Linked DNA regions of Cricetulus griseus. The main gene of each other region encodes a partner of the protein of the gene in region 7 in a complex. Links are inferred from orthologs where the notes say so. Each region holds a gene or a part of one and is shown on either strand. Other genes may lie near its edges.

What was found.
Region 1: the proteins of Med7 (region 7) and Med21 are in contact, whole or in part, in a cryo-EM structure (PDB 7EMF), measured with the Homo sapiens proteins. The link is inferred for Cricetulus griseus from reciprocal best matches to the Homo sapiens genes MED7 and MED21. Residues at the interface, in NP_001094286.1 of Homo sapiens: Phe72, Asp73, His74, Lys75, Leu78, Arg79, Asn82, Ile85, Leu86, Phe89, Leu92, Leu93, Leu96, Phe116, Val119, His120, Ile123, Asn124, Tyr126, Arg127, His129, Gln130, Arg132, Glu133, Leu135, Arg136, Met139, Glu140, Gln142, Lys143; in NP_004255.2 of Homo sapiens: Asp3, Leu5, Thr6, Leu8, Gln9, Val12, Asn13, Leu15, Ala16, Phe19, Ile23, Ile62, Ala66, Ile69, Asp70, Ile73, Asp74, Leu76, Pro77, Ser78, Glu79, Ser81, Ala83, Gln86, Ser89, Leu90, Leu93, Glu96, Asn97, His98.
Region 2: Med7 (region 7) and Med26 share a complex: the UniProt entries of both Homo sapiens proteins name them as parts of the mediator complex. The link is inferred for Cricetulus griseus from reciprocal best matches to the Homo sapiens genes MED7 and MED26.
Region 3: Med7 (region 7) and Med4 share a complex: the UniProt entries of both Homo sapiens proteins name them as parts of the mediator complex. The link is inferred for Cricetulus griseus from reciprocal best matches to the Homo sapiens genes MED7 and MED4.
Region 4: Med7 (region 7) and mediator of RNA polymerase II transcription subunit 20 share a complex: the UniProt entries of both Homo sapiens proteins name them as parts of the mediator complex. The link is inferred for Cricetulus griseus from reciprocal best matches to the Homo sapiens genes MED7 and MED20.
Region 5: Med7 (region 7) and Med16 share a complex: the UniProt entries of both Homo sapiens proteins name them as parts of the mediator complex. The link is inferred for Cricetulus griseus from reciprocal best matches to the Homo sapiens genes MED7 and MED16.
Region 6: Med7 (region 7) and Med12 share a complex: the UniProt entries of both Homo sapiens proteins name them as parts of the mediator complex. The link is inferred for Cricetulus griseus from reciprocal best matches to the Homo sapiens genes MED7 and MED12.

What each region holds. Positions count from the first base shown.
Region 1 is NC_048601.1:3,057,122-3,061,136, forward strand, and holds the start of Med21 (mediator of RNA polymerase II transcription subunit 21), read right to left. Parts: upstream 2,801-4,015; 5' UTR 2,707-2,800; coding exon 2,665-2,706; intron 1-2,664. UniProt on the Homo sapiens protein: Component of the Mediator complex, a coactivator involved in the regulated transcription of nearly all RNA polymerase II-dependent genes.
Region 2 is NW_023276806.1:247,288,613-247,292,654, reverse strand, and holds the start of Med26 (mediator of RNA polymerase II transcription subunit 26), read left to right. Parts: upstream 1-1,242; 5' UTR 1,243-1,287; coding exon 1,288-1,359; intron 1,360-4,042. UniProt on the Homo sapiens protein: Component of the Mediator complex, a coactivator involved in the regulated transcription of nearly all RNA polymerase II-dependent genes.
Region 3 is NW_023276807.1:228,022,090-228,024,791, reverse strand, and holds the end of Med4 (mediator of RNA polymerase II transcription subunit 4), read right to left. Parts: intron 2,686-2,702; coding exon 2,599-2,685; intron 2,132-2,598; coding exon 2,000-2,131; intron 1,194-1,999; coding exon 1,021-1,193; 3' UTR 501-1,020; downstream 1-500. UniProt on the Homo sapiens protein: Component of the Mediator complex, a coactivator involved in the regulated transcription of nearly all RNA polymerase II-dependent genes.
Region 4 is NW_023276806.1:255,578,091-255,582,094, forward strand, and holds the start of mediator of RNA polymerase II transcription subunit 20, read right to left. Parts: upstream 2,801-4,004; 5' UTR 2,666-2,800; coding exon 2,652-2,665; intron 677-2,651; coding exon 522-676; intron 1-521. Other genes in the region: bystin, read left to right, coding at 3,171-3,435. UniProt on the Homo sapiens protein: Component of the Mediator complex, a coactivator involved in the regulated transcription of nearly all RNA polymerase II-dependent genes.
Region 5 is NC_048598.1:100,704,718-100,708,993, forward strand, and holds the start of Med16 (mediator of RNA polymerase II transcription subunit 16), read right to left. Parts: upstream 2,801-4,276; 5' UTR 2,728-2,800; coding exon 2,650-2,727; intron 2,418-2,649; exon of another isoform or gene 2,272-2,417; intron 1,935-2,271; coding exon 1,769-1,934; intron 1,467-1,768; coding exon 1,359-1,466; intron 1,192-1,358; coding exon 1,022-1,191; intron 1-1,021. UniProt on the Homo sapiens protein: Component of the Mediator complex, a coactivator involved in the regulated transcription of nearly all RNA polymerase II-dependent genes.
Region 6 is NC_048604.1:68,973,016-68,976,515, forward strand, and holds part of Med12 (mediator of RNA polymerase II transcription subunit 12), read right to left. Parts: coding exon 3,450-3,500; intron 2,944-3,449; coding exon 2,797-2,943; intron 2,475-2,796; coding exon 2,375-2,474; intron 2,262-2,374; coding exon 2,125-2,261; intron 1,902-2,124; coding exon 1,770-1,901; intron 983-1,769; coding exon 856-982; intron 1-855. UniProt on the Homo sapiens protein: Component of the Mediator complex, a coactivator involved in the regulated transcription of nearly all RNA polymerase II-dependent genes.
Region 7 is NC_048600.1:60,988,498-60,992,661, reverse strand, and holds the start of Med7 (mediator of RNA polymerase II transcription subunit 7), read right to left. Parts: upstream 2,801-4,164; 5' UTR 2,665-2,800; intron 2,635-2,664; exon of another isoform or gene 2,358-2,634; intron 152-2,357; exon of another isoform or gene 1-151. UniProt on the Homo sapiens protein: Component of the Mediator complex, a coactivator involved in the regulated transcription of nearly all RNA polymerase II-dependent genes.

The DNA.
Region 1 (4,015 bases), on a different chromosome or scaffold from region 7:
CCTCTCTTCGAATGTTTATGGGTATCCATCCTAGCAGATGCAGAAATTGCAATACAGAAAGAGTCATGCTTAAGAGTACTGGCTGCTTTTGCAGAGAATCTGGGTTCAACTCCCAGAATCCACAGCTCCCAACTATAACTCTAATCCCAAGGGATTTGAATCCACAGCTCACAACTGTAACTCTAATCCCAAGGGATTTGATAGCCTCTTCTGGTCTCCATGGGTCCCAGGCGCCCATGAGGTACACAGGAATACTTAAAATAAAAAAAAAAAAAAAAAAAAAAAAAAAAAAAAAAAGACTCTTTCAAATCATAACTCTATAAACAAATCCTAAGATACCAAAGTAGTCGAACTGGTAGATAACACATTCTATTCTAATTGCAAGAATGATTGTCTGTTCTTTCCTGAGGTTCAAAATTGGGGTGTACAAAGCACATGATCTCTTGTCTGTGCAGAGCAGCTACCAAATATAAACAAATAGTGGGCGTATTGGGGATAAGCTCAGCTGGGAGACTGCTAGCCTAGCATGGTGAAGCCTCGAAGTGGACCCTCAGCACTGAAACAGAAACCTAGGAGTAACATCGCAAACATGTAATTCTGGTAATCAGGAGGCAAGAACCCAAGTTCAAGGTCACCCTCAACTACACAGGAAGTTCCAGGCCAGTCTGTACTACATGAAGAAATTTCTTACTGTAAGTTATCAGAACTGTAATTCTACAAGACTCCAATTGTAATCTTACTGCTCAGAATGTATTTGTTGTTGGGGCACGGCAGTGCACAACTTCCATCCTAGCACTTGGGAGGCAGAGGCCAGCCATAGTTACATAAGAGACTCTCTCAAAAAAGGCAGAACTAAAAAAAAAACCAATGTAGTCAAGTAATTTGAAAACACAAGTTCACACCATCTGCAAACTAAACACATGTATAACCCATCACCCAACTTCTCACTAATCCCTGGAACCTCAACTATTATTTCCAATCTTCCAATCAGGAAACAGCATTTCTATTGTTTCTATTATTTTGCTGTCATTATTTCAATGACAAAAATCTGAGCTGTCATTAAAAGCTAACCTGGGTGACTTTATTTTAAGTTGCAGCATTCCATTTTGCAACACTGTCTTAAGACAAAGAAAAACCCAAATGAAACTTATTCAGAACAGTAGTTATGTATTCTGTCCTGCAAATGCTTTCAAGACCCATTGTTCATCTGTTCAAAAACATATTTATTGAAAAATGAACCCCATGGCAAGTACTATATATAAATATTATAGAGATGAACATGTTTCCAGATGGTAGAACAAATGTTAACACTGCTCTATGTTCCAATCTACTTTAGCACTGAAGAACTGAAAGCAGTTTACTCTAACTCCCTAGCCATGAACGGGGTTTCACATCTGAAAGTCTCTTGAGTTCATGGCATCTTTCTAAGCTCCCCCAGGGGTAGCTCTTTGTAAACACATTGCCTATTGACACAGTAGGCATCCAAGTTAGCTAAATTAACAGTATTCCTAACATGAGTCAAGACCATATAGCATCCTTACCACCCTAGCTACAGGACCTACACGAAGACGAAATTCTGAGATAAGCTCCTACACTGCATTAAGAGATTTTTAAAACCTCAAAGGAGTACTTTCTTGGGAGAGAATGGCTGGCAGCCCAGGGAAATCTTTACATTTTAGCTTGGTGAGTTCACCAACATTTAGGGATAGCCCCTCAATTTAAAAACTACTTTATTTACAGAGTAGGCAGTTTTCCCACAAGTAGATTCACAATCTCTAAAAGTGATGTATTACCAAGAAGCCAAGTTATGACCTTTCTGTAAGAAAAACACAGGCCAGGGACTGGGTTTTGTTTTTTTCCAGTAGGCAGACACTCTACAGGCACTTTACCTAGAACAAACTACAACCAGGATGACACGGACATTTTTAACTACCAGTGGAAAAGTGTTGTGCTCTTAATGGTAATAAGCAGAAACATTTTTTATTTTATTTTTTGGAGTCAGGGTCTCTCTCTACACTGCTCTGGCTGTCCTGGAACTAACTTTGGGGCTGGCCTCAAACTCAGATTTGCCTGCTTCTGCCTCCAGAGGGCTGGGATTAATGGGATTAAAAATGTGGCTCAGAGGCAGGGCGTTAGTGGGGCACGCCTTTAATCCCAATACACCGGAGGCAGAGGCAGGAGGATCTCTGTGAGTTCGAGGCCAGCCTGGTCTCCAGAGCGAGTACCAGGACAACCTCCAAAGCTACACAGAGAAACCCTGTCCCAAAAAAACAAACAAACAAAAACCAAAAAGAGTAACAGCCAGAAGGGACAAGGTTATGGAAGGCAGCAGTTTTCAGGAGCTTCTGTTGTTTAGATTTTATGACTCCCCAGTTGTTTTTTGTTAGTTTTAACTGACAACCTGGTCTCCACAGTGATTTCCAGGTCAGCCAGGGGGGTACGCGGGAGACTCTCTCAACACAAAACAAAAATCGCCCTTGTGAACATCCGCTCGACGCGGCCCTCCTGCCCTCCTGCCCTCCTCTCCCCGGCCCTCCTGCCCTCCTCTCCCCGGCCCTCCTCTCCTCTCCTCTCCTCTCCTCCCCGGGAAGGACGGGAAGGAGGGGAAGGACGGGAAGAACGGGAAGAACGGGAAGGACAGGCCGACTAAGGCGGGAGCCTCACCGAGTTCACCGCGTCCTGCAGCTGCGTGAGGCGATCCGCCATGTTCCCGCGTACGCAGCGACGCCGAAGCTCCCCGCTCAGCGGCGATTGGGTAATTTATGGCGGCTCTGGGCCAATCACAGGGCTCCCTTCCAGGGGGCGTGGCCAAGGACGCACGCTGCGGCGGAGGGCGGGGCTATCCCGCGGCTCACCGGGGCCGGGGAGGCGGGCGGAGCGGGCGGATCCGGGGAGGCGGGTCTGGGAGGCGGGTCTGGAGGGCGGAGCCGGGGGTGGAGCCAGGCCCGCGGCGCCGAGATGCTCCAGGGACGGTCGCCGCCTGCCGTCCTGGCTGTAGCCGTGTTTGAGGCGGTCCTGGCGGGCCCGCGGTGTGTTTTGCTTGCGTGTGGCTCCGGGGTTCTGTTTTGGGCGTCATCTGGAACACTTGTTTTCCTTCACTTGTGCTTTCCAGGTGGACCACACGGCGAACCCTTCACAAATGGTTAAACCCAGCAGATTATCATTCGCCAGGAAATCAAGAGTTAGTTAGGTGTCTTGTTGGATTGGGCCAAGAGGTGCTTGCCCAACTGTAGGCTAGATTCGTGCTTTAATTCTTGAGTGGGGAAACTGACACAGCAGAAATGGGAAGCGTGGGAAACTAAGCGTTAAACTGTGCCGTGGTGAGGAATGACAGGCAAAGGTTTTCACCTTTGGAGGTGAAAGGCATTTGGAGATGGGCATTTGGAGATAAGAGGTGTGTAGTCAGCACAGTTAACTACACAGTCCTCTGTAGCTGTGAGGAAGAGAAGGCTTCAGAGGAAAGGGAAGGGCCCTGGGGCCAGAAGAGAGGTTCCAGGAAAATAAGCAAGTTAGGCAGGTTCAGAATTTAGATTTAGAATTGAGATCTTTGATAGTTTTACATGCGAAGAGTGATACTGTGTGATGCGCACTGGGAAGATGTATGGCTGTGATTGGTGTAATAAAAAACTAAGTAAAGATAAGTAAAGGTAACAAGTTACATAAAAGCAAGCAAATTAAAAAACATGGGTTGCCCTGCATGGTGGCACACACCTTTAATCTCAGCACTCAGGAGGGAGAGGCAGGAGATCTCTGAGTTCCAGGCCCTCCTGGTCTACAGAGCGAGTTCCGGGACAGCTTCCAAAGTTACACAGAGAAACCCTGGGGGGAGGGCAGGTCCATTTAAATTATAAGAACTAATTTGGGGCTGGAGAGATAGCTCAGTGGTTAAGAGCACTGACTGCTCTTCCAGAGGACCGGGGTTCAATTCCCAACAACCACATGGCAGCTCACAACTGTCTGTAACTCCATTCCAGGGAACCTGACATTCATGGCAAAAACACCAATATAAAATAAA
Region 2 (4,042 bases), on a different chromosome or scaffold from region 7:
CCCCGATCCCGGCTAACCCTCAGAAGTATAACAAATTCAAAATTAACAGGGGTCGCCCAGCTCTCAGGAGCACATGTGGTTCCCATTACCTGTTTCCCTTCCGTTTCCAGTCTGGATCTTTAAGGTAACCTCGGAGCCCGCCGCCCGCCCGCCCGCCCTCCTCCCGTCATCTGCAGCGGAGCTCCGGGTCACCCAAAGACGGGGGGTCGGGAGCCCGACACTTAACATCTCGCTTCTCTTGGTGTGGCCTAAAACTCCAGGTGGTTCTGACGCTTGCTTTCCTGCTCGGTGGGGCGTTCCTGTTTTCCAGCACCTGAGATGCAAAGCCAACAGGAAGGGGCGGATGCCGGGCTGCAGCCCCGCCACCTCGGGCACGGCGGTCCCTCCGGCCGGCGACGCGAGCGGCGCTTCCTCCTGAGCGGGTCGCGCAGGCCCTGTCGGAGGCGGCGGTGCCCTTAGGTCCCCTCTGCGCGGGTCATACGGGGACACGCACTGCCCCGCAGACCCGCGCCTCCGGTTTCCACCGCGGCGGCGGCTGCGCAGAACTCTCCCGAGGTCCTCGCGGCGCGGGTCTCCTTGGCGTCGCTCCTGAGCCGGGTCCCAGCCCCCGGCTGCGGCCCTTCATCCGAGGGGAGGGTCCTCCTTCTCCGCACCCCCGAGGCAGCCCGGAGGAAGAGTCCAAGCTCCAAGACCCAGCGGGTGCGCTTCCGTTAGGAAGCTCCGCCCACCGGTTTTTCGGAGTGGGCGTGGCCTTTAGACAGCGTCCGTTGCCCCGCCCAACTGCCTCCCAACGGCTCTCTGGAACGGGCCATGGGGCGTGGCGACGCGACCTGATAAACGCGCGTGCGCGCGCATGCGCAGAGGCAACAGAAGCGGCTCACGAGCCGGCCCCTCCCAGAGCCAGAGTCTCCGCCCGCCCCCATCTCCCAACCTCCTCAGCGTGGCGCCGACGCTGCGTGCGGCGCGGGTTACCCAGAGTGCTCAGCGCGGGGGCAGCTCACTGGAGTTTGGTTCTCGAGGCGGCGGCGGCGACGGCGGCGGCGGCGGCTTCTCCGTCGGCTCCTCCTCCCCCCCTGCTCGCAGCAGCGGCGGCGGCCCGGGGCCCGAGCTCCGGTCCCCTCCGCTTCCCTCCGTCTTCCGCCATCTCCCCGAGCGCCCCGACCTCCTCCGGCGCCGCGGGGAACATGCGGCTCCGTTCCCGGAGGCTGGCGAGCGACTGACCCGCGTCCCCCCGCCCCAGCCCGCCCGCCCGCCGGCCCGGCCGCTCCCCCCCGCTTCGCCCAGGCAATGACAGCGGCTCCGGCGTCTCCGCAGCAGATGAGGGACCGGCTGCTGCAGGCCATCGACTCCCAGAGTAACGTAAGTGACTGCTTGGAGAACGGGGACCGAGGCCGCATGTGCCGGGACCCTCCCCCTCCGACGCGCCCCCGGCCTGGGGGCCTCTCCCGGCGGCGCCCTGCCCGCCACAGCCGTTGCCATCTCGGCCTCTCGTTCTCCCGGGTCCAGGGGCCGCGGGCAAGGCGGGCAGCCCGGCGACTCAGGGTACCTGAGGCCGAGGCTTCACGCGGCCTGGACTGAGGGATCGCTCGGAGCCGAAATCAGACCTGGTTCTCCTCGGTTGCCTCGGCCAGATTGTCCTTGGTGCTTTCCACCTTGCCTCCCTGTCTCTCTTCGACCCCGGGACTTGAGACCCCCCGGAAGGGTCTCCCTACGGGGGTCAAGGTGGGAAGCAACTAGTGTCCCCCGATGACTCTGGTAGCCCGCGTCTCCCTTCGGTCTTCTGGCTGAAATCGTCTTCTTGGGCTCGGAGAGAACCCTAGGCCCTCCTTGTCCCTAGTCTTGCTGCTTGGGATCCCTGGAGAGTTTCCCTTCTTTTCTGATACTGGACAGACCCCAGTTTAATCCCTCCAAGGGTCGCTACCTAGGAAAGACGACCCTGCAGAAGGTGGGATCCTTCCTGTCACCTTTCTTGGCCTAAATGTCCCATTGTGTGTCTGACAAGCCTGGGGTTTTGGTACTGAATTCCTGCTCATCACAGTCGATTGTTCTCTCGCCCCTATTCTGGTCTTCTTTCCATCTCTCTTGCCCCACCTGAGGGACTCGGCCTGGTGTTTGGTCTCTAGGCTGTCAAGAGTTAACTGTATGGGGTCACTTTATGTCACATTTCCCTCTGCTAAGCGTCCTATGAGCAGAGGGACACCCTTTCTTCCTGTGTGAGCATAGGCTAATCTCACCTGTTGTGTTTTTTCCAAAGGTTTGTTGGCAGTGTAGGGAGGGGGTGAGGGTCTTTGTTCCTGGAAGCAGCAGGGCCATGAGAAGATGCACAAGCATCCAGGTATGAAGTGTTTGCTGGGAGACCAGGAAGTGGCCTTTGAGATCACTTTTTAATATGCTCAGGATGGAAAGAAAAATCATCTTGGGCTTGGCCAGGTAACTGAGGTTTGAGCAGGGAGCTCTTTTGGTTCCCTTACTTGTGCTTGGCTTGTTACTCTTAGTAATGTGCCATATTCTGGTGTGTTCCAAGAAATTCACATTAGTTGTGCAGTCTTGGTAGAAATGGAGGTTTCCTGATCTCTGGAAGAATCTGCTTGCCAGATTCAAAGTAAATCTCTTCTTCCTGATCTTGAGGCCCTATTAAGATCACCTTGATACTGATTTAGCCAATATTTTAGACATTTTTGGTGGGTGGAGTAAGGACAGGCTAGATAAAATCTTCTAAAAAGTCTTTTTTTTTTAAATGTTTTTTAAAACAGTGACTGATATTACTGCAATTACATGATTGAGATATTAAAAGATACAAACAAGTGATGTGAAAAATGTAACCTCAGTGGCTTTTGCATGTTTTCTGAAGCTACAATGTACACAGTGGATTTTTTTTTTTTTTTTTTTTTTTTTTTTTTTTTTTGAGACACGGTTTCTCTACCTGTAGACCAGGCTGGCCTCAAACTCACAGAGATCCACCTGCCTCTGCCTCCCAAGTGCTGGGATTAAAGTTGTGCGACACCACTGCCAGCATCCACAGTGTAATTCTTAAGTCCTGTATGTTGACTCGTGAGAAATCACCAGGGATCCTGACTGCTGCCTGTGAGAGTGCTGGGATCAGCTAGTGCTTTGATAGGCAGTAATGATGCTTCGCTTCAGGTGGGGCAGCCTTGCGGGTAAGGCTCTGACTAAAGGATTCTTTTGGGGGTAAAAGAAGGAAGATAGAGGACTCAAATTTTAGTGTGTGAGTGTGTGTGTGTGTGTGTGTGTGTGTGTGTGTGTGTGTGTGTGTGTATTAAGACAGAGCCTCTGGAACATACTATGTCCTTTGCCTTCCGAGTATTGGGATTAAAGGCGTGGGCCACAGTGCCTGGTCCCCAAACCTTTGCTTTTTGAATCTTACCTTGGGCCTAAGTGTTAATATACTCCTTCACCTGTGGGTAAGTTACTTGGAGTGGAGTGTGTATCTCAAAGGGCTATAGGGATAAGTGACCTCATTGTGATGGCTAGAGTTGAGAACTTGTCTCTTAATGAGGAGGGAAGTTTTTCTCTAAATGCAGTGTATCAGTAACTATTCATGAACACTGTCATGTGCTGGCTTTGCAGGACCTCTTTGTAGAACTCAGCCTGGAGGACTGTCCTTGATTTCTTCCAGAGGCATTGAAGGGTACTTTTTCTGGATTGTTCAGGGCCCAAGTAAGAGCTGTGTGCTGGCACAGGGCTCTGCTCTGCCCAGTTATGAGCTCTACCACTTGGTAATTGACACATATTTAAGATGTTCATGGAAAAAAATACAAAATGGGGACACAGTTGAAGAGCTTACACTAAAATTAACCCTCTTGAGAGAAAGTGACAGAGATTGGTGTCATGTAATGCTTACCTTTATGAGTGCAATCATAGCTAACAAATTTAGCTGTTGCTTGGAAAGTCAGTGCCAGGCAGCTGACCTACTGTCCACAGTCTCTGAAATTGGGAGCAGCTCCTTGACCAAGGAGGTCTCTAGAGGAAGGCCAGCTCTGCTGTGTGTTCTAGCTTCTGAGCAGCAAGCACTGTCCTTTCT
Region 3 (2,702 bases), on a different chromosome or scaffold from region 7:
GGGTCTTCTGGAGTCCTCAAGAACTTTGCAGGACAACAAGGCCAAAGGTTGGTTGGTTGCTCTCCCCCAACCCTTCTATTTTAAAACCTTCCATGAAATTGTGTGTCTGTGTGGTATGGGATTGTAATAAATGTTTTCAATTATTAATGTTCTCAGAAACCTAATTGTGATTACTAGTTAAGATATAGTCATTTTATCTTGTATTTTCTGATATATAACAGAATCTTACTTGAATATTATAAAATGCAACTGAATTTTTTTGTTTTTCAAGACTGGTTTCTCTGTGTAGCCTTGGCTGTCCTGGAACTGGCTTTGTAGATCAGGCTGGCCTCCAACTCACATCTGCCTGCCTTTGCCTGAGTGTTAGAGTTAAAAGCATGTGCTACCACTGCCCAGCTTAGATGCAACTGGATTTAAGTAAATTTCCTTCTTATACTGAAGGGGTACCAAAATACATACATACATACATACATACATACATAAATCAGACAACAGGAAAATTAAAAAATAAACAAAAGCAAGTTTATTTATACAAATTACAGTATTTACCACATATAAATAGTGATAGTTCTGTCGCTGCAACAGCAGCCGACTCTCAGGTGAGCACTTTCACTTTGAAATACCACACTCAGAGCCCCGCTGCCTTTGTGCTGGCCCGGACTGCTCTGTAGCCCTGATGGCTCAGAACTTACTATGAAGGTCTCACAGCAATCCCTGTCTCCCTGGTGCTGGGATTATAGGTATGAGCCGCCACGCCTGGCTTGGTGCCCTTTCAAGTCATTCCCGAGAGTTGTGTCATTCTCCTGCAGCCTCACTTCCAGAGCTGCTATGTGCAAACCAAAGTAGTAATGCTGACTAATCCTCACACGTTTGCCTAGCAGATGAGACAAAATGGGGGGGGGGGGCATTGAAAAGAACCCCAAATGGTTTTCAGTGGGCTGCTCCTTAGAGGTCTGGGGTTTACATGTCCCTCTTGTCAGGGCTCTGCAGCACTAGTCTGTGCGTGCTCTCACGCCTTCTTCAGTCAGAGTCGCTGCTGCTGCTTGAAGAGTCTGTTGACATAACCTCCACATCATCTTCATTTTCCTTGTTGTGCCCAGGAGGCTCCAACAGAAAGTCACTGCTGTGATTTGGTGGTAGCATGTTCACAGACATGTCATTTGACTGCCATGGGTACTGTGGAGCAAGGACATCTGGAGGAAAGAAGCATGGGGATCAGTTTACTTGTAATCCATCTACTTGTCAATCACCCTCCCTTTATGCAAGTAACTTAATTCTATCTACCCGCCTACCTTGTAGTACCAGAGGTCTAACAAGATAGGGGCCCATCCATGCTAAACACACACAAACAACAAATTATGTCCATTATACCCCAGCCATGGGTCCTGTGCCATGGTCCTATACATAATAGCTATTCATCCATATCTGTTACTAATTAATCCTTTCAACTTTCCTACTCAAATTACTGGTGTTGTTTGTCTTAAAAGGATTATAACCAACAGTGTAGTATAACTGCAATGAGAAAGACAAGGAATGTCTGGGAATTAATAAGCACAGAGTTCCCAAATCCACACTTTAGTACAGAAGAGATAGCTAAAGCTAAAAATGGGCTTCAGAAAGCATAGCCCCCACTCATGTCCTTTCTCTTTAGAAAGATCCTTTTACATTACAACATGGCACCTACAAAAATGCTTAGTCTATCTGGGGAGCACGCCTCATGATGGAAAATGTTCTTCGTTGTCATCAAGGAAAGCTCCTGTGCTGGGGGGAGGGTGGCAGGAGATGCACATGGGGACAGCTTAGGCTCATGTCATGCAATGCCACTGCAGGGTCTTTGGCTAAAGCAAGCACAGAATAACAAACTGGCAGGGACCCTGGACAAACAAGTAGATGAATAAGGCTGGGCCTGGGATCTCAAGAGTTCGATGTTAGACAACGCCTCGCTGGCACCTCTGAAAACCCTTGGTCTGCTTGAAAACACCCTTCCTGTCAGCATTACCTGGCAGTCTACCTGCTGCAAGGGCATCCCCTGGGAGATGGCCATTCACACCACTCGTGGAAGGGTTGTTCATCTGACCCAGCAATCCACTTCTCATCTCTAAATCAGTTGGGTACGGCCTCCGAGGGTCTCCTAAAACAACAATGAAGGCAGCTTTTTAACTCAAGTTTAAAAAAACAAAAGATAAGTTCTTTGAAGTATTAACTTTCCTTGGTGCACACTGAAAGCCTCAAGCTCTTTGTGAGACAGGGTTTTCACTATGTAGCCTATGCTGGCCTCAAACTTGCAATCCAGCCTCGGCCTCTCCAGGTGTTGCCTTTACAGTACCACACCTAGCCTGGCTGCATTGAAAATTCTCAAGCTGGGCATGGTCCATTAATCCCAGCTCTCAGGAGGCAGAGGTAGGCGAATTATAGCAATCTCAATTCTTCCAACTTAATTCTATTTCCTAGTAAGAAACATCAACAATGATACATCCTCTTGAGAGATGCCACAGAGGGCATTACTAGGACACTGAAAAAAAATGCCTAGAGATGTTGTTTTAGAGAAGTACATTCTACATTTAAATAGTTTTAATCTGACATAAGAAGCAATGTTACCTGGAACCCAAGTCAGTGGTGCACACACAGCATTGCTTGCACTAATCCTATGTGCATATTTAATGATTTCTTCTGAGGAGATAGCACCTGAGTTGAGAAAATAG
Region 4 (4,004 bases), on a different chromosome or scaffold from region 7:
TTCCCCTAAGACTGGAGTTTAAAAGGTTGTGAGCTGCCATGTAGGTACTGAGAATCAAACCTGGTCCTCTAGAAGAACAGTCAGTGCTCTCAACTGATGAGCTATCACCTCAGCCCCAACACTATTCTTTAATAAAGAAAGCACTTCTGGTTGTGCTAGACAATTTTTGTTTCCCAAGAAAGGTTCTCACTCTCTAGCCCAGGCTGGCCTTGAACCCAAGTTCAGTTCCCAGTACCCATACCCACCTGTAAGGCTAACTCCAGGGGATCTGACACCACGGGCCTCTAAAGGCACCTGAACTCAGGTGCACATATCCACACACAGGAGCACTAGTGCGCATATCCACACACACACACACACACACACACACACACACACACACACACACACACAATTAAAAAATTTTAATTAAACAAGTAGCTCAAACTGCAATCTGACCACCACAAATAGATGCCAATGACTATGAATAATTGTAGGACTCCAAGCCGGGTCCAAACATCTGCTCGCAGTCATCTACTGACCTTGGCTGCCCAGGGTGGAGGCAGCTGTGTGGTAAGTCTCACAGTCCACACAAAATGTTCCTTGTTTCTCTGCCCCAAGCATCTCCAATTTCCTGGTGAGGAGCTCCACCGTCTGCTGGACACTCTTGCCCTCAGCCACAGGCATCTGGGACACACTGAGAAACAGAACAGTCAGCAGTGTCCAGAGACAAACATGCTCTGGCTGAGCCACTCATTCCCAAATAGTTACCAGATCAACAGGACTAGGAGTTACTTTAGATAACACTAACTCTGATCCTGCCCCTTAAACTGAGAAAGGAAGAGGCCCACAGTCCAAGAGTTCCTTTAACAGGCAGAACACAGGTCTCAAGTGTCTCACACAGGGACATGGAACTTTCTACCACATCAGCATTCCCAAGTAAGGTACAAATACCAACATTAAGTGTTGATTCTAGGTAGCACACACTGCACACATTCAGTGTCACTGAGTTGTACAGTGGATGTGATTGATGGTTTACGTGCCAACATGACAGGACCTAGAAGCTTGGAGATAGGGTCTTACAATGCCGCCGAAGATGATCTGGAGTTCACTGAATTAGCCTGAGCTGATCTCACTCTTTTAGCAATCCTTCTGTCTCGGCCTCCCAGGTGCTGGAATTATAGGGGTATACTTGGCTGAGACCTATTTCTTAAACAAACTCCTGACCCTGTCTGTGAGATTCTTATTTAACTAAGGTGTGGATAAATCAGCTGAGTAGGACACCACACGTGCTCTCGCGCACGCGCACACACACCCAAACACACACACCCCCACACACCCCTACCTACCTCTTGACTATGGACATAATGTGACCAGCCACCTCATTCTATTTAAACTCAACTAGTGAGCCAAAATAAACCCTATCATAAGCTGCTTTTGTCAGGTATAGAGCCCCAGGAGGCTGGTGGATAATATTCTGGACATTGTGGACAGAACTTTCCCACTATCACAGAGTTCCATTTAAAGGCACTAAGAACAAAGAGAACGCATCCCTCGAGTGTATACGCCTAGAAAAAGAGACAATAGTCGTTTCAAGGACCAGTGAGCAATACATAAAACAGAAGAGTCACTAAACTGACACTGTGACAGAAACTCTGTGATTTTGAGAGAGTTGAACCGATACTAGTAGGAAGGGAAACCTTTTCTCTGTATAATGAACCCTAGGCAGGCAGGCATTGGTGGAGCACTCCTGTGATCCCAGGATGCAGGAGTCAGAGGCAGGTGATCGACAGCCCATAAAAACATATACAGAAATGTTTTATAGGGCCCAGTGACTCTGCTGTGATTTCTATTTTCACTGCTGACAGGTACTTTTTACGGTGTGATGAGGTTGAGATAAGGCTCCTGGTGTCAACTAATTTGCACGTATAGTAGTCACTAAAAACCCTGCAAGAGCCTGGGTTTCCTGAAGAACATCCCACACACACATTATACAGAACAGCTGGGAAGACACACACCACTACCAAGATTTTTTTTAACGTGCTGAAGCCTAGTACTTTGGAATTAATGCCCTGAAGAAAAGCACGGTGTCCAGACATTACCAATCACCTCTCTTTTTCCAAGTGAGATTTAAAACACGTTTCAGATAAAAAACAAAAAAAAACCCAAACCTGACTCAAACATGTAGGAAGTGATTCTTGGATAGTTAATGTGCCTGGAACCCCGACCTCCAAACCTCCAACAGCTCCTTTTCCTCTCCCTCTGACATTAGACCAAATTAAAGCCAGGCTATTATTACTGCAAGCAAAATGTAAAAGTCACTTTCTCCTAGAGCGCCCCCCTCTTTTTTATCGCTGCCTGCAAATAATTCTTAGTGCGAAAGCCTATTCCCAACTTTTAGGTCCTATTGGCGACAATACTATGGCCTGACGGACATGAAGAAGTACCAAGAAAAAGAAGGTACGACTCCTGACAGGTTCCTGGAATGAAGAGTTGGCTTTGCCAAAAGGATGCGCCTGGGAAGGAAGAAGCACCACACGGCGTCCCTTGCTGCAACACGACCCGAGGACATCTTTGTCAGCCCGCGAGGAACCGAGAGCTTCCGTCCCGATCCCCCTCCTGGGGCCTTCACGACCCCAAGCTCCGTCCCACAAGAGCCCCTGCAGTCCTACCAAGTCACTCCCATGGCGCAGGGTCAAAGGGGTGGCACTGCCAAACACTCGAAGTCAAGGGATCCAGAGGCCCCTGGAGGTAGAGCCGCCTAAAGCAGGATGCAGGCTCCGGAAATACGCAAAATCTGAGCGCCAGAGCGGTACACCCACAGAAGGGAGGCGTGCCCGGGCGCTCCAGCGATGAACGAATTCCGTCATCAGCCCGGCTCCGCCCCCAGGGCGCGCTTTGCTTTGACAGGACCTCTCAGGCTACATTCATGAATTCTGTCTGGAAAAGGTGACTTGGGACATCCACCCACTTCCGTACAATGAGATTACCTGAGAATCTGGGGAGTCCAGCTCCCGCCCCGGAGCTCCTGGAGAGATGGCGGTATATGAGGCACTTCCGGCCTCCGAACGCTGGGGGGCGCTGTGAACTCTCGGTGACCTCCCGAGCACCGGAACACAGGGCGCAGACACAGTCCTAGTTTTAAACCGGCTTCCCACGTGTGAGTAGCATCGGCAAGTTTTTCGAGAAAAATGCCCAAATTGAAGGTGGCCCGCGGGGCCCGGAATCAGGAGAAGCATGCACCTCTGGCCGAGCAGATTCTGGCTGGGAATGCAGTGCGCGCGGGGACCCGAGACAAGCGGCGGGGACGCGGGGTTGAAGAGGAGGAAGAGTATGTTGGACCCCGGCTGAGCAGACGCATTTTGCAGCAAGCCAGGCAACAGCAGGAGGAGCTCGAGACTGAACACGGGACTGCAGACCAGCCTGCAAAGCCACGGGAACGCGCCACGCGGCTGGGTGAGTGACACGGGCTGGAGTGGTGGCATGGGCCGGACTAGCTCAGTCCATCCGGATACGGGTTTGGAATTACAAAGAGGAGGCAGTTTTTCCTTCCCGCGTGGTCCTTCACTTCAACGCGTACCTTCTGGAACCTACCTCAGAGTTCCAACAGGAAGTAATCACTCACACCAAGTTCCAGTATTTATTCTCTGGGCTTGTGAAGTATGACTGTGTTTCCTGTGCAATGCTTTGAACTGTGTTAAGAGTTCAGGCAGTTCTAAGCCGGGCGGTGGTGGCACACACATTTAGTCCCAGCACTCGGGAGGCAGAGGCAGGCTGATCTCTGTGAGTTCGATCCACAGAGAAACACTGTCTTGAAACCCCCCCCCCCAATAAAAAAGAGTTTAGGCAGTTCTGATACCGAAATAAACAATGTACTCGTCCTTGCTTTTAGCACCGGAAGTCTACCCCAAGGCAGAGAATATTAAATAGAGTAACATATTCCAGCAATGAGCAGCGGTGCTCGCCTGTAATCCCAGCAGGTGAGAAGCTGAGGCAGAAGAAGGCCCTCGTGGACTACATAGTAA
Region 5 (4,276 bases), on a different chromosome or scaffold from region 7:
CAGGAGAAGCAAGAAAAGTAGGACATACAGAATGAAAGAAATGTAAAAAGCCCTGAGGCAAAACACAGATGAAGAGAAACAGGTTAAAATAAGTTATAAGAGCTAGTGGGAGGGCTGGAGAGATGGCTCAGAGGTTAAGAGCACCAACTACTCTTCCAGAGGTCCTGAGTTCAATTCCCAGCAACCACATGGTGGCTCACAACCATCCCTTATGAGATCTGGTGCCCTCTTCCGGTGTGCAGATATACATGAAAGCAGAATGTTGTATGCATAATAAATAAATAAAAATCTTAAAAAAAAAAAAAAAGCTAGTGGGAGCCAGATGGTGGTGGTGGTGTGGTGCAGAGGCAGGCAGATCTCTGTGAGTTGGAGACCAGCCTGGTCTACAGAGCGAGTTCCAGGATAGGCTCCAAAGCCACAGAGAAACCCTGTCCAGAAAACAAACAAACAAAAAAAGCTAGTGGGACAAGCCTAAGCTAAGGCAGAGCATTCATAACTAATTGGTCTCCATGTCATGATGTGGGAGCTGGTGAGTGGCCACATGTAGGCGTGGTCTCAGCAGGTGTGTGGAAGCTGCTGGTCCCCAAGGACCTGGCCATGCCCCCTTCCTCAAAGGCATCTACCTCCGAGGAAACAGACATCTCAGATGTCTGTTGGTGCTCACTCCTCACTGGTTGAACTCCAGAATACACATGGATAGGGGAATTGTGGTCGTCATTAAATCACAGTAGAGTGGGGTCTGAAGACCACATAGCAGTCATCTGTAAAACAGGACACCATTGGATGCAGCTGCCTGTGGAACAGGGTCACTCTATAGGGACCATCATCCCATCACTGAAAGGGGAGGCTCAGGGGGACAATAGCTGTAGTTAAGCATGTTCTTGGGGACAGGAGCTCACGGATGGCAGTTACTGACAGGTATCCCACGCAAACAGGCCTGGCACATGACAGAGAATTCTGGCAGCGGCAAGGGAGAGACAGGTTGGTCACTCACAACTCCGCCACACGTAAGTCCCCTCACCTTCTCCACGTGCAGGGCCAGTTTCACGCCGTTGTGCAGCCAGGACAGCGCCACGATGGAGTCCCCCTCCACCTGGCTTCCCACTGAGCTCTCCCAGCTGTTGGCCAAGTGGTCAGCCATGCTCCAACATTTGATATGCCCGTCAGCATCGGCTGACAGGAGCCGTGAGCCTGTGGTGACAGAGTGCCATCAGGAACCCTCCTGAGGGGCAGGTTGACTGCCACCCCCTGCCCCCACACTCTGGACTCCCAGTGACTCTGGATTTAGGACTGAGAACTGAAGAAGGCAGCCCATGCTGCTCAGGGCTCTGGAATGAGAGTGAACTTCGTGGCATCACCTGACTGGTCCCATTCCAGGCAGGTGATGGCCTCGCTGTGGCCAGAGTTGACAGAGTGCACTTCCCAGGGATGTTCGGTGTCTAGGATATGGATCATATGTGTCAGGTCTGCGATGGAAGGAGAACAGGTGAGGTCGGTGTGGCTCACAGTGTCCCAGGATTCCCACGCCCATTTCCCCTCTCCCTGAGTGCCCCTCCATGCCACTTATCCCCCGGGGAGGGTTATCCAGTGCAGCCATAACCAACATTAGAGTCGGAGGACAGTGACTGGTATATGACTGCTTTCCCTGGCAACAGGGAGCCTGGCTCTGCCACCATGAGCCTTTCAAACCGGGACACACTGTGTCTGGAAATCTGAGGTAGGGTGGATCCAAACCCGGCACAGTCCACCTCTATGGACCGACACTCACCCTGGTCATCATTTCGGAGGTCCGTGGTGAAGGCGATGAGGTTCCTGCAGGACCAGGCGCAGGCCAGGGGCAGCGACGGGCAGTACGTGTTCTTGGCCCAGTTCTCCCACTCGCACACGTAGACCAGTTCCATTATGCCCACAGCACCCAGCACAGTCCCTGGCTCCTGCGGAACAGCGAGGTCCTGGCTAAAGTGGCTCTAGAGAGTTCTCCAGCCCTTGGAGCCTAAAGCACCCTCCATACCACCTAATCACCCACCCAGACCTCAGCCTAAGCTCAGCCTCCAAGCACTAAGCACCCTCCACAAACAGGCCGCACCCACTCCAAGTTCAGTCCCACGCCCCGCCCCCAAAGCTTCGCCCAAGACCTAAATCCTGAGACTTAACACACATACCCATGTGCCTCAACCAGGCCCCACCACGGGCTTTAAGCTCCACACACACCTTCTAAGGCCCTAGGCTCCGCCCCCAAGCCAACTACCAGCTTCAGGCCCCTCTTCTTACGGGTTATCAGGCCAAGGACCCCTTCTCCATCAGTCCCAGATCCTCAGGCCACGCCCCACTCTTTCAGACTCTGCTCCCTAGGCCACGCCCCTCTCTAGCAGCTTCATTTCCTCAGGCTCCGCCTCTCAGCTCAACTTTTGCCTCAGGCCACGCCCCCTCAGACAGTCCCATCCTCAGGCCACGCCCCCTCCCCGGCCTAGTCGCCTCAGGCTTCTCCTCAAGCACCGGTCCTGACCACGCCCCTTCCACCCAGTCCGCTACCCAGGAAGCTTTGCTCCCCGGCCCGCCCTCTGACCCCGCAAGTTCCGCCCCTCGGCCTTCCGCTCGTGGTCCTCGCCCGGATTGTGCCGGTCACGCGTTCCGCATCCTGGCACTGACCTGTCCGCTCCGAGCGCCCAGTCGGCCGGGCTGCCGCGATCCACATTCGCCCCAACGCCCGGGATCCGGGGCCGCCATCTCTCCGCTCGTGCCGGCCCCTCGCACAGACTTCTGGGAGAACCCAGGCTCCACCCTCTACTCGGCTAATTTGCATACAATAATTCCTAGTAACCATTGCAGCTGTATGTACGAAAAAAGACAAGTAATCTGTCATTTCTGATCACTAGCTATATCTTACATTATAGGTTTGGTCTTCTGTAAAAGACAGGAGAGAAGTACTAAAACTTTCGTAAGGAAACTGTACTCACCCTAACGATAAAGGGCTTGAATTTAGAGCCTATAAATACTGCCTGGACAAAGCAGCTGTTTGTGCTCGCTTCGGCAGCACATATACTAAAATTGGAACGATACAGAGAAGATTAGCATGGCCCCTGCGCAAGGATGACACGCAAATTCGTGAAGCGTTCCATATTTTGCCCACCCTCAGAAACACCAAAGCATACTCCTACATCTCTCTTCTGAAATTAGTTTATGTATAGCTTATCTTCCGCATATTCACTGATGGCGAAATTAGTCCCCACGTAAGTGACTTAACTAAATTTTCCCCTTTGCTTTTTGAGACACGGGCTATGTAGTTCAGGTTGGCCTCACACTGTTGAGGTTAAGATTCTTCTTTCAGCCTCCAGAACAGCTGTGCACCATCAAGTCATGAGTTCAGCTGTTATTTATTGTTATTTAAATTTGGGATTTTTGTTTTTACTTTTGTGTGACAGGATCTGACACTGTGAGTTTGAGGCTAGCCTGGGCTACATGAGACGCAGAGGTCTGTTGTTGGACCTTTAGTGCCAGCACTCGGGAGGGTGAAGCAGGCAGATCTCTTGAGTTTGAGGCCAGCCTGGTCTATAGAGAAGGTTCCAGAACTGCCAGAGCTACACAGAGAAACCCTGTCCCAAAAGACATGTAGCCCAAGTTAGACTCAAACTCAGGGTATATGGTGCTGGGAATGGAATTGAGCATGCTACGAAATCAGTCACTCTACCCACTGAGCCACAGCCTGGCATCCCACCTTTAAGTATTTTACACATTTTAAAATGAACTAAAGAATCAAGACTGCACTTTGCCCTGTGTGTCCAGATTTCCGGCCCCCAGCCCTCGGTGACCTGTTACTTCCCCACCAAACCCCAAGACACAAACAGTCAAGGCCTGAGCACCAAGGCTTTATTAAAAGTGTCCCTTTCCCCCAAGCACAAAGAACCACACAAAAGGGGAGGAGGCGGGCCCATGGAGCCTCTGCAGTGACCACAGCTATGCTGGGTGGCAGAGGGGACAGGGAGGAGGACAACACACAAGGTCAGAGGCTTCTGGCTGGAAGTCCTGGACCCAGGTATAAGTGTTAACAGGAGGAGGATCTGAAGGGCAGGCAGAGCCCAGGGAGTCGGGGACACGAAACACACATCACAAAAAAGCATAAAATCAGCCCTTGAGATGAAGCTTGTCCAGGTTCACCAGGCCCATGGCATGTACACACACACACACACACACACACACACACACACACACAAGACAAAGTGCCCTGGGGAGATCAGCTGAGTCCTAGAGAGGACCAGACACCTCCATCAGAGCTGAA
Region 6 (3,500 bases), on a different chromosome or scaffold from region 7:
CATGGCAGCTCACAATTGTCTATAAACTCCAGTTCCAGGGCATCCGAAGCCCTCCACCAGCCTCTGCAAGTACCAGACATGCACATGGGGCACAAACATAAATGTAGGAAAAATTCACATACACAAATATTTTAAAAAGGATGGTTGGCTGCACCGCTTAATGCTGTCCACCACCACCGTGGAATGAACAAAGTATCTTTGCTCCTGTGTATATACTGGAAATGCTTTGCTCAAATGTTCTTGTGTTTATTCTTTGCTTTTCTCTATTCTATTAAAATTGTGAGACCATCAAGAACTACGCCTAAAAGTAATTCTGCACAGAACCCAAGACAGAAATGTAGACCAGAAGGGCCTTCTTTCCTTTCTTTTTTTTTCTTTCTTTCTTTCTCTTTCTCACTTTCTTCTTTCTTTCCCTCGTTCTTTTTCTTTCTTTCCCCTCCTCTTTCAGCTCTTTCTTTCTTTTCTTTTTTTTCTTCCTGATTTTTTTTTTTTGAGACAAGGTTTCTTTGTGTAGCCTTGGCTGTTCTGGAACTAGTTCTGTACAGAAGGCTGGCCTCAAACTCAAGATCCGCTTGCCTGTGTCACCTGAGGGGTTGAAGGTGTGCACCACTGTCCAGCTTTTGTTTTGGTCTATTTTTCAGACAGGTTTTCTCTGTGTAGCCCTGACTGTCCTGAAACTTGCTCTGTAGATCAGGCTGGCCTTGAACTCAGAAATCCACCTGCCTCTGCCTCTTCTGAGATTCAAGGTGGTGTCACCACCACCCAGAGGCCAGAAGGTCCTTCTTTATGTTTTCTGATGACATGATTTATAATTGAATGTAGGCAAAGGAACTGGAAGATTATAGGTGTCCATACTCAGCATGGGAGCCTGTGTATCCAGAAACTGCAGGAGGACATCCTGGAAAATGGGTGCACTAGGAGCAGAAAGCGAACCAGAGGCGACTGAGCCCTTCTCATCAGCTGCTTCGGATTCTCCACAACGCTGCAAGACGAGAGAACAAACTGAGCGGTGACTTCTCCCTGTTTCTTCACTCTTCAATATGTAACCTTCGAAGTGTCACCTGTCTTCCATCCCACACTTTTCATTTCCTTTGCCACTTCTCAACTACAGCCTTGGTCTCTTCTCTAGCCAATTAATCCATCAGCTCTTTTCCATTTGTGCCTATGTCCTTAACAATCCCTATAAGTTCTCTACCACTTTTCTTTTCTTTCTTTGTTTGGTTTTGTATATTTTGTTTATTTGATTTTGTGAGGCAAGGTCTCCCTAGGCAGCTCTGGCTGGTCTGGAAGTCACTATGTAGACCAGGTTAGTCTCAAACTCATAGAGATCAGCCTGCCTTTGCCTCCTAAGTGAGTGCTTGGATTAAAGTCATGCACCACAATGCCCAGCATTTTTGTAAAACTTTTTTTTTGAGACAGAATCTTTCTATGTGGCCCTAGCTGTTCTAGAATGCGAAAGGTAGACCAGGCTGGCCTTGCACTCAGAGATCTGAGGTACTGGGATTAAAGGTATATACTACCACGCTTGGCTTTTTTTTTTTTAACTTTTGAGACAGTCTCTCTAGCTAGTCCTGGTTGCTTTGTAACCATGATCTTCCTGTATATGCCTTTCAAGTGCTGGAATTTCAGGTATGTGCCAAGACAAGAGCTCTCTATGGTTTCTTTCCAATCCCTCGGGTCCAGTCCCATTCCCACTACTACCTCAATATGTCCAAACCCAGTTAGAGTCTTTCCATTGGGCAACTCACTCCCTTTTCTTAGCCTCTAACCTCAGCCTCAATCTCGGCTTGTCTCTTCTCCAGAAGCTTGGCTACTACCATAGCACGATGCCGACCAGAACGCTTGCAGCTAACAGCCCATTCACATAATAATGATACCACAGCATCATCATCTGAGGAAATCTGTAACCAAAGGATTTGACAAGGATAAGTAAGGGAAGGCTAGGAACAAAAGAAACGAGTTCCTTTTTCAAGTATAGGCCCCACCTAAAAATATCATAGCCCCAGGAACCAGGAAAATCATCACTTCAGGAATCTGCTGCTTTCAATGAGTTACTAACCTTACCCTTATACAGACCGCTTCTCCTGTAATGTTTTTGCTCTTTCTGTTTTTCTTCTTACTCACCTCATGACCATCCTTACTAGGCCCCAATCCAAAGATTCGATTACAAAGGGAGTCAAGGGAATTACTAAAGTCAGAGCGCTCAAAACTATGGCTGTCCAGCACTTCTAAAGTATGGAGCACCCGTCCAATGGTGAAACCTGAGGACAAACAGTATTAACTAGAATTAACTAGAGAGTCAATGCATTCAGATTCTCAGATATCTATGAATCCATCACCCATCCTTTCTTAGTTCCCTCCCTCTGACACCTACCCGCAGTAGCTTCCTGGCACTTATCAAAAGACCAGCGAACCTCAACTGCTTGTCCTCGCTCCTTGATCTGCTGTTCAATCTCTCGCAATTTTGCTCGGACCTGCAATATTTTTTAAAAAGCTTTAAGGAAACACCCAAATAAATGAAAAGCTAAAAGAAGAGTAGCCGAAAGCTGGGCGTGGTAGTATATGCCTGCCTGTAATCTAGCAGTTGGGAGGCAGAGGCAGAAGGATCACTATTAAGTTTGAGACCTGCCTGGTCTACACAGCAACTTTCGGGTCAGTGAAGGCTACTTAGCAAGATTCTGTCTCAAAAAACAAACAAAAGCAGAAAACAGTAGCAGACTCCAAGTCACTATTTCTAGAAAAAGAATCTAGCATTACATCTCAACTTCAAAGTACCAGGGTAGTATTTAAGCTTACCTGCTGAGTGAAGGCACTGTTACCCTCTGGCATGGGCAAATTGGAAGGAGCAATGGGCAGGTGGTCAAGTGGTGAACCAGTTTTAATTCGGCTATCAGTCAATGAGTAGTGCCAAACTAGGGCACTAGGACAACACAGGAGGATAGTCTGCCAGACAAATAGATGAATCAAACCCAATTATCATGGCTACCTTTCTAGAATCCCCCACTTAAGGCCCACCTCCTTTAGGTTTTGCATCTGATTTAGGTTTACTATGACTGAGTCCTTGGGGCAAGTATCATTCTTGATCCGCCTCTACCTCACCTTCTTTTATTATCATTTTTATAGTATTTTCAGACAAGGTTTCATCTGGCTATATAGCTTAAGCTGACTTTGAACTCACAGTCCTCCTGCATCTTCTTTCCAAGTTCTAGGACTACACGCATACACTACCATACCCAGATTCTCAGGCACTTTCCTAAGAAGCTTTGGGCCTAATACTTAAGTCTTGGGAGAGGATGTCCGAAACTTCTGAATGGGAGCATCCTATTACAGAGAAACACAATTCTTAAATGGGTTGCTCAGTGCCTGCTCCCACCTCTGAGTTGGACTCACCCCATTCTCCAGGATGAGCAGTCAGTTCTTTACACTTTCTTGGGCCCTCTAGTACCTACCTGAAGGATACAGCTGAGGCCAAAAACCAGGGGCCGGTGCTGAGGGCACAT
Region 7 (4,164 bases):
CAACATCAACTTCAATGTTCAGAAGTACACTGTGAATTCAGACCATATTATCTTTAAGCTTCCTGCTGGTAAGTATGCCTTGAAAATTGAGAACTTGTTGGCCAGTCAAGACACAAGGTGTGCTAATTTCACCCTAAAGGAACAGGTGACCCTGGCAAAGGAAAAGAAAAATAAAGCAAAGCTATGGCTTCGTGCAATGAAGATAACTGTGATGAGAGCCATGAAACAATCTCTAGCATCTAAATATACACCCAAGTCGAGGTATGCAGACTCTATGAAGGAAATTCTGAGAACATGAAGCAGTGTCACTTGGAAATCTTACAATTATTTGAATCCCTTAAAGTCCCTGTCACCTGCTAAAGGACACTTTTGTCTGCCAGACTTCATGTGACTATGAAGTAAGGACACCTGTTCTGCTTGGTGAGGAAAGAGGGACGCTAGGGTTAAGGACTCATGTGTTCTATGTAAGCTGACAAATGGAAGCATAGGAAGTGGGAAGCAGCCAGTCAAGTCCACTAAAGGTTTGGCAGATAACTTTACTTACTGTTCTTTTTAAACATTTTTTTTTGTTGTTATTTTGAAAAAGGACCTCAACTGTCATAGATGTGGTGGTTCACACTATAGAAGCCAAGACAGCTATGAGTTCAAGGCCAGTTTGGGCTACACATTGATTTTTGAGTCAGCCTGTGCTAAAAATACCTTTAAAAACTATTTTTAAAGTATATGAAGTTGGGAGTGAGATATGGTGATGGTCTGCATGGTATTAGAGGGGAAGGAGAGGGCATGATCAAAACACATTGTGTATAAAATTCTCAAAGAACAAAATACATATTCTAAAAACTAAGAGAAAAGGGTCCATGTCTGGGATGATTTTGTATGGCACATGATATATTATTTGTCATGTCTGATTTTTGTTTTTGTTTTTTTGTTTTTTGGGTTTTTTTTGGGGGGGTGGATAGGCCTATGTTGGAACCCACACTGGAAAAAAGAACACTTATACACACAAATATCACGTGCCTTTTTACTACTCTTTCCCACAGTGAAACTACCTATGGTGTTTATCAATCTCATATCACAATCACTTTTGCTTTCTATTATGTACTGGTTTCCAAAACCAAACACTTAAAGACTCTAAACATTTTGACAAAAACAACAAAAAAAGCATTGTTAAATTTCAAACTTCTATTATTATCCAGGCTTTGTGAAGGAAGCCCCATCTTGAGAGGGCCGGGCGTTGGTGGCAGACGCCTTTAATCCCAGCACTCGGGAGGCAAAGGCAGGCGGATCTCTGTGAGTTCAAGGCCAGCCTGGTCTCCAGAGCGAGTGCCAGGATAGGCTCCAAAGCTACACAGAGAAACCCTGTCCCGAAAAACCAAAGAGTACGGTCTTATTAACACATTAGCATTTTATATATTTCCAAATAATAAAAAAAACTGCAACACACATGGTCAAAATAACCTCTCCTATTCCAATTTGAATTATATAGTGTATTATCCATTGATAAGTGTACATCCAGTGAGGAGACTCCTGAGTGCTTTTTCACACTTGATCTGAGTTTCAAGACGCACCATCCATCTACCAACATCAACTGGGGCAAGTAACATACCGGTTCAGTACCAGTTCCTTGGAATATGTTAAATCTGAGGGCAGCCACTTCAAAGTCTTCAGCTTTCCAACTGTTTGGGCACCTCACCCACCCACCCACCCACCCTGACACCTTTTCCCCTAAGTACTTCAGTATATACCTAAAACACGAATGTTCTCCTGCAACCACAGCCTAATTTCACCCACTGAGGGCTTTTGAAATTGAGGTTCTGTGCTTCCCTTCCCCACGCCCACACTAAACCCGCAGTTTCCCAAAGGCTTCCAGTAAGTGACTGGCACCGGCTATTTACACCGTCATTTCTTCTTCACAACGACACAACTATTCCCAATTCGATTTTAGAAACAAGAAGCCAATTCCCAACGTGGAGCATTAGATCAAAAGACTGGCAAACGGTACAACGGGACTTCTCACTCTGGGTTTTTTGTTTGTTTCCGCTCCCAAGTACAAATCCCCGAACTCCACTAAGTAGCGAGGCTTCCCGCGGAACAGCCTGCCCCAGGACAGGATCCGCCCATCACCGGTTTAAACAGAACTTTTCAAAGCCGCTGGAGGTCGTAATTTTGTAACACTAGCAAAACTCACACTTAGTAGTGTTTGCTTTTGCAGGGAAAGCGTCGCAAGCTCAGAGACCTGCTTCACTTTGTGCCCTGTAAACTGGGACCCCTTGAAAGTCTGGTAAATGGGGAATCCAGATCCGCTCGTGGGCCCCCGCCCCAGCCCCAGCGCTCCCAGGTGGCTCTTCTCATTTTACCAATGGCGACGGGGGACAGTCTTGGCTAAGGCCACGATAGTTTAAAAGTCGTCGAAGTGGGGACAAGAACTCGGGCCTCCCAACCTCCAGTCCGGCTCGTCTCGCACGTGGGAAGCCCGGAGAGGGAGCACTCGGCTCACCTTCGGCCTCCGGCAAGCTCCGCTGAGCGACGTGGGGGGAAAGGCGAGCCCGGGCTTCCCAGGATGCCCCGCGCCGGCCCGGCGGCGCTCCACGCCCGGAGAGAAGCAGCCACGGGGGCGGAGAAAGAGGATCAGGCTGCGGTTGCCAACCGCAGCCGCGGACTCACCTCAGCGCTTGCTTTTCCGGTAGCGACTTTTCCTCAGCGCAGCAGAAGCACAAGTTCCGGTTGCCTTCTCAGGAAGAAGCCTCTGACGCTGGTCTTTAATTGGCTACCAAGGCTGTCCTAGAACAGGTTTTACTCCCGCCCTGAAGGTATTGCGCGTGCGCACTTCTGCATCTCCCGCTTCTCCTGGGGTTGTCTCAGGCATCTCCTCCTTCCCCTCCCCCCTCCCGCCGCGCCCCTGAGTAACCTAGGTCGAGTCTGGAGAGTACCTCTTCTTCGTTCATTTTGTCAGTAAAAGAAAATACTATCTAATAATTCTATTCCTCGCCACCTCCACTTTTAAATGAGACTCTTGGAATTAAAAACGAATCCACTTGCCTTATTTAAAAATCAGAAAATACGGATAAGCAATATATTAAAATATTCTATCAATGTTAACCTCACCATCAAAAATGTTTTTAATATAAGATTATACTCCGTGATATACATAAGTGTATATAAATATTTGCAAATATATGGTATACTTCTGAACATGATTAAGAATAAAATCCTAAACATCCAGTTTCCCCCTCCACTTTTATTTTCATTTAGGAATTCAAAGACGTCTATTACAATTCTTACACAAATTGACAAGTGAAAAAAATTAGTTTGGTGTAATTTTTTTTTTTAACGGAGGGAGGGAGCAATTTCACTGTGTAGCCCAGCCCTCAGGAGAGTTCAGAAATTCGCTATCAGTCCCAGCAAGAAAACTTTCGGTTTAAGGTTTTGTTTTCAGTATTTGTTTTTTTCCACAAGAATTGTTAACAAATGTCCAAGTTCTTGGGAGTCTTAAGGGTGCACACTGCAATCTAAAAGATAAGAATGTTCTGGTAAAACAGCTCTGCTTCACAAACAAGATCCTCCCAGTTTCTTTCTTTAAATATGTGGGGAATTGCAGGCATAAAAGTGAAGTGCAGTCTACTCACCGCCAACTTCAACAGTTACATGCTCAGCATCATTTCATCTTTAGTCCTGTATGCAGCGCTAAAAGGTAAGGGCTCTTTATTTCTTCATATACCCATAGAATTATAATCTCACTGAAAGTATATTGGGGTCATTAAAGGAACAAAACTGATAGAATGAATATGTATGCATGTATGGTTTACTAGAGTGTCTCCAAGGATCCAGTCCAAATATCCCAACACTGGCTGTCTCATGCATGGAAGGCTGAGAACCCTGTAGTTGCTCAGTACAAGAGGCTGGACATCTCAGAAGCTCTCATCTGGCACTGGAGGCCTGGAGGATTTCTGGAAAGCTGCTGGTCTTCAATCTATGTAAGAATCCCAAAGAAATTCAGTTCCAGTACTGGCAAAGGAATGAGGGAACAAGAAAATGAATGAAGTTGCCGGTGAGAGTGAGGGCAAGCAACAAAATCACAGTTTGCTGTTTTCTTGTCCTTTGTCCTTCTTACCTGGGCAGCTACAAGAACATGCCACCAGTCTTCCTGCTTCTAAAAATCTGATT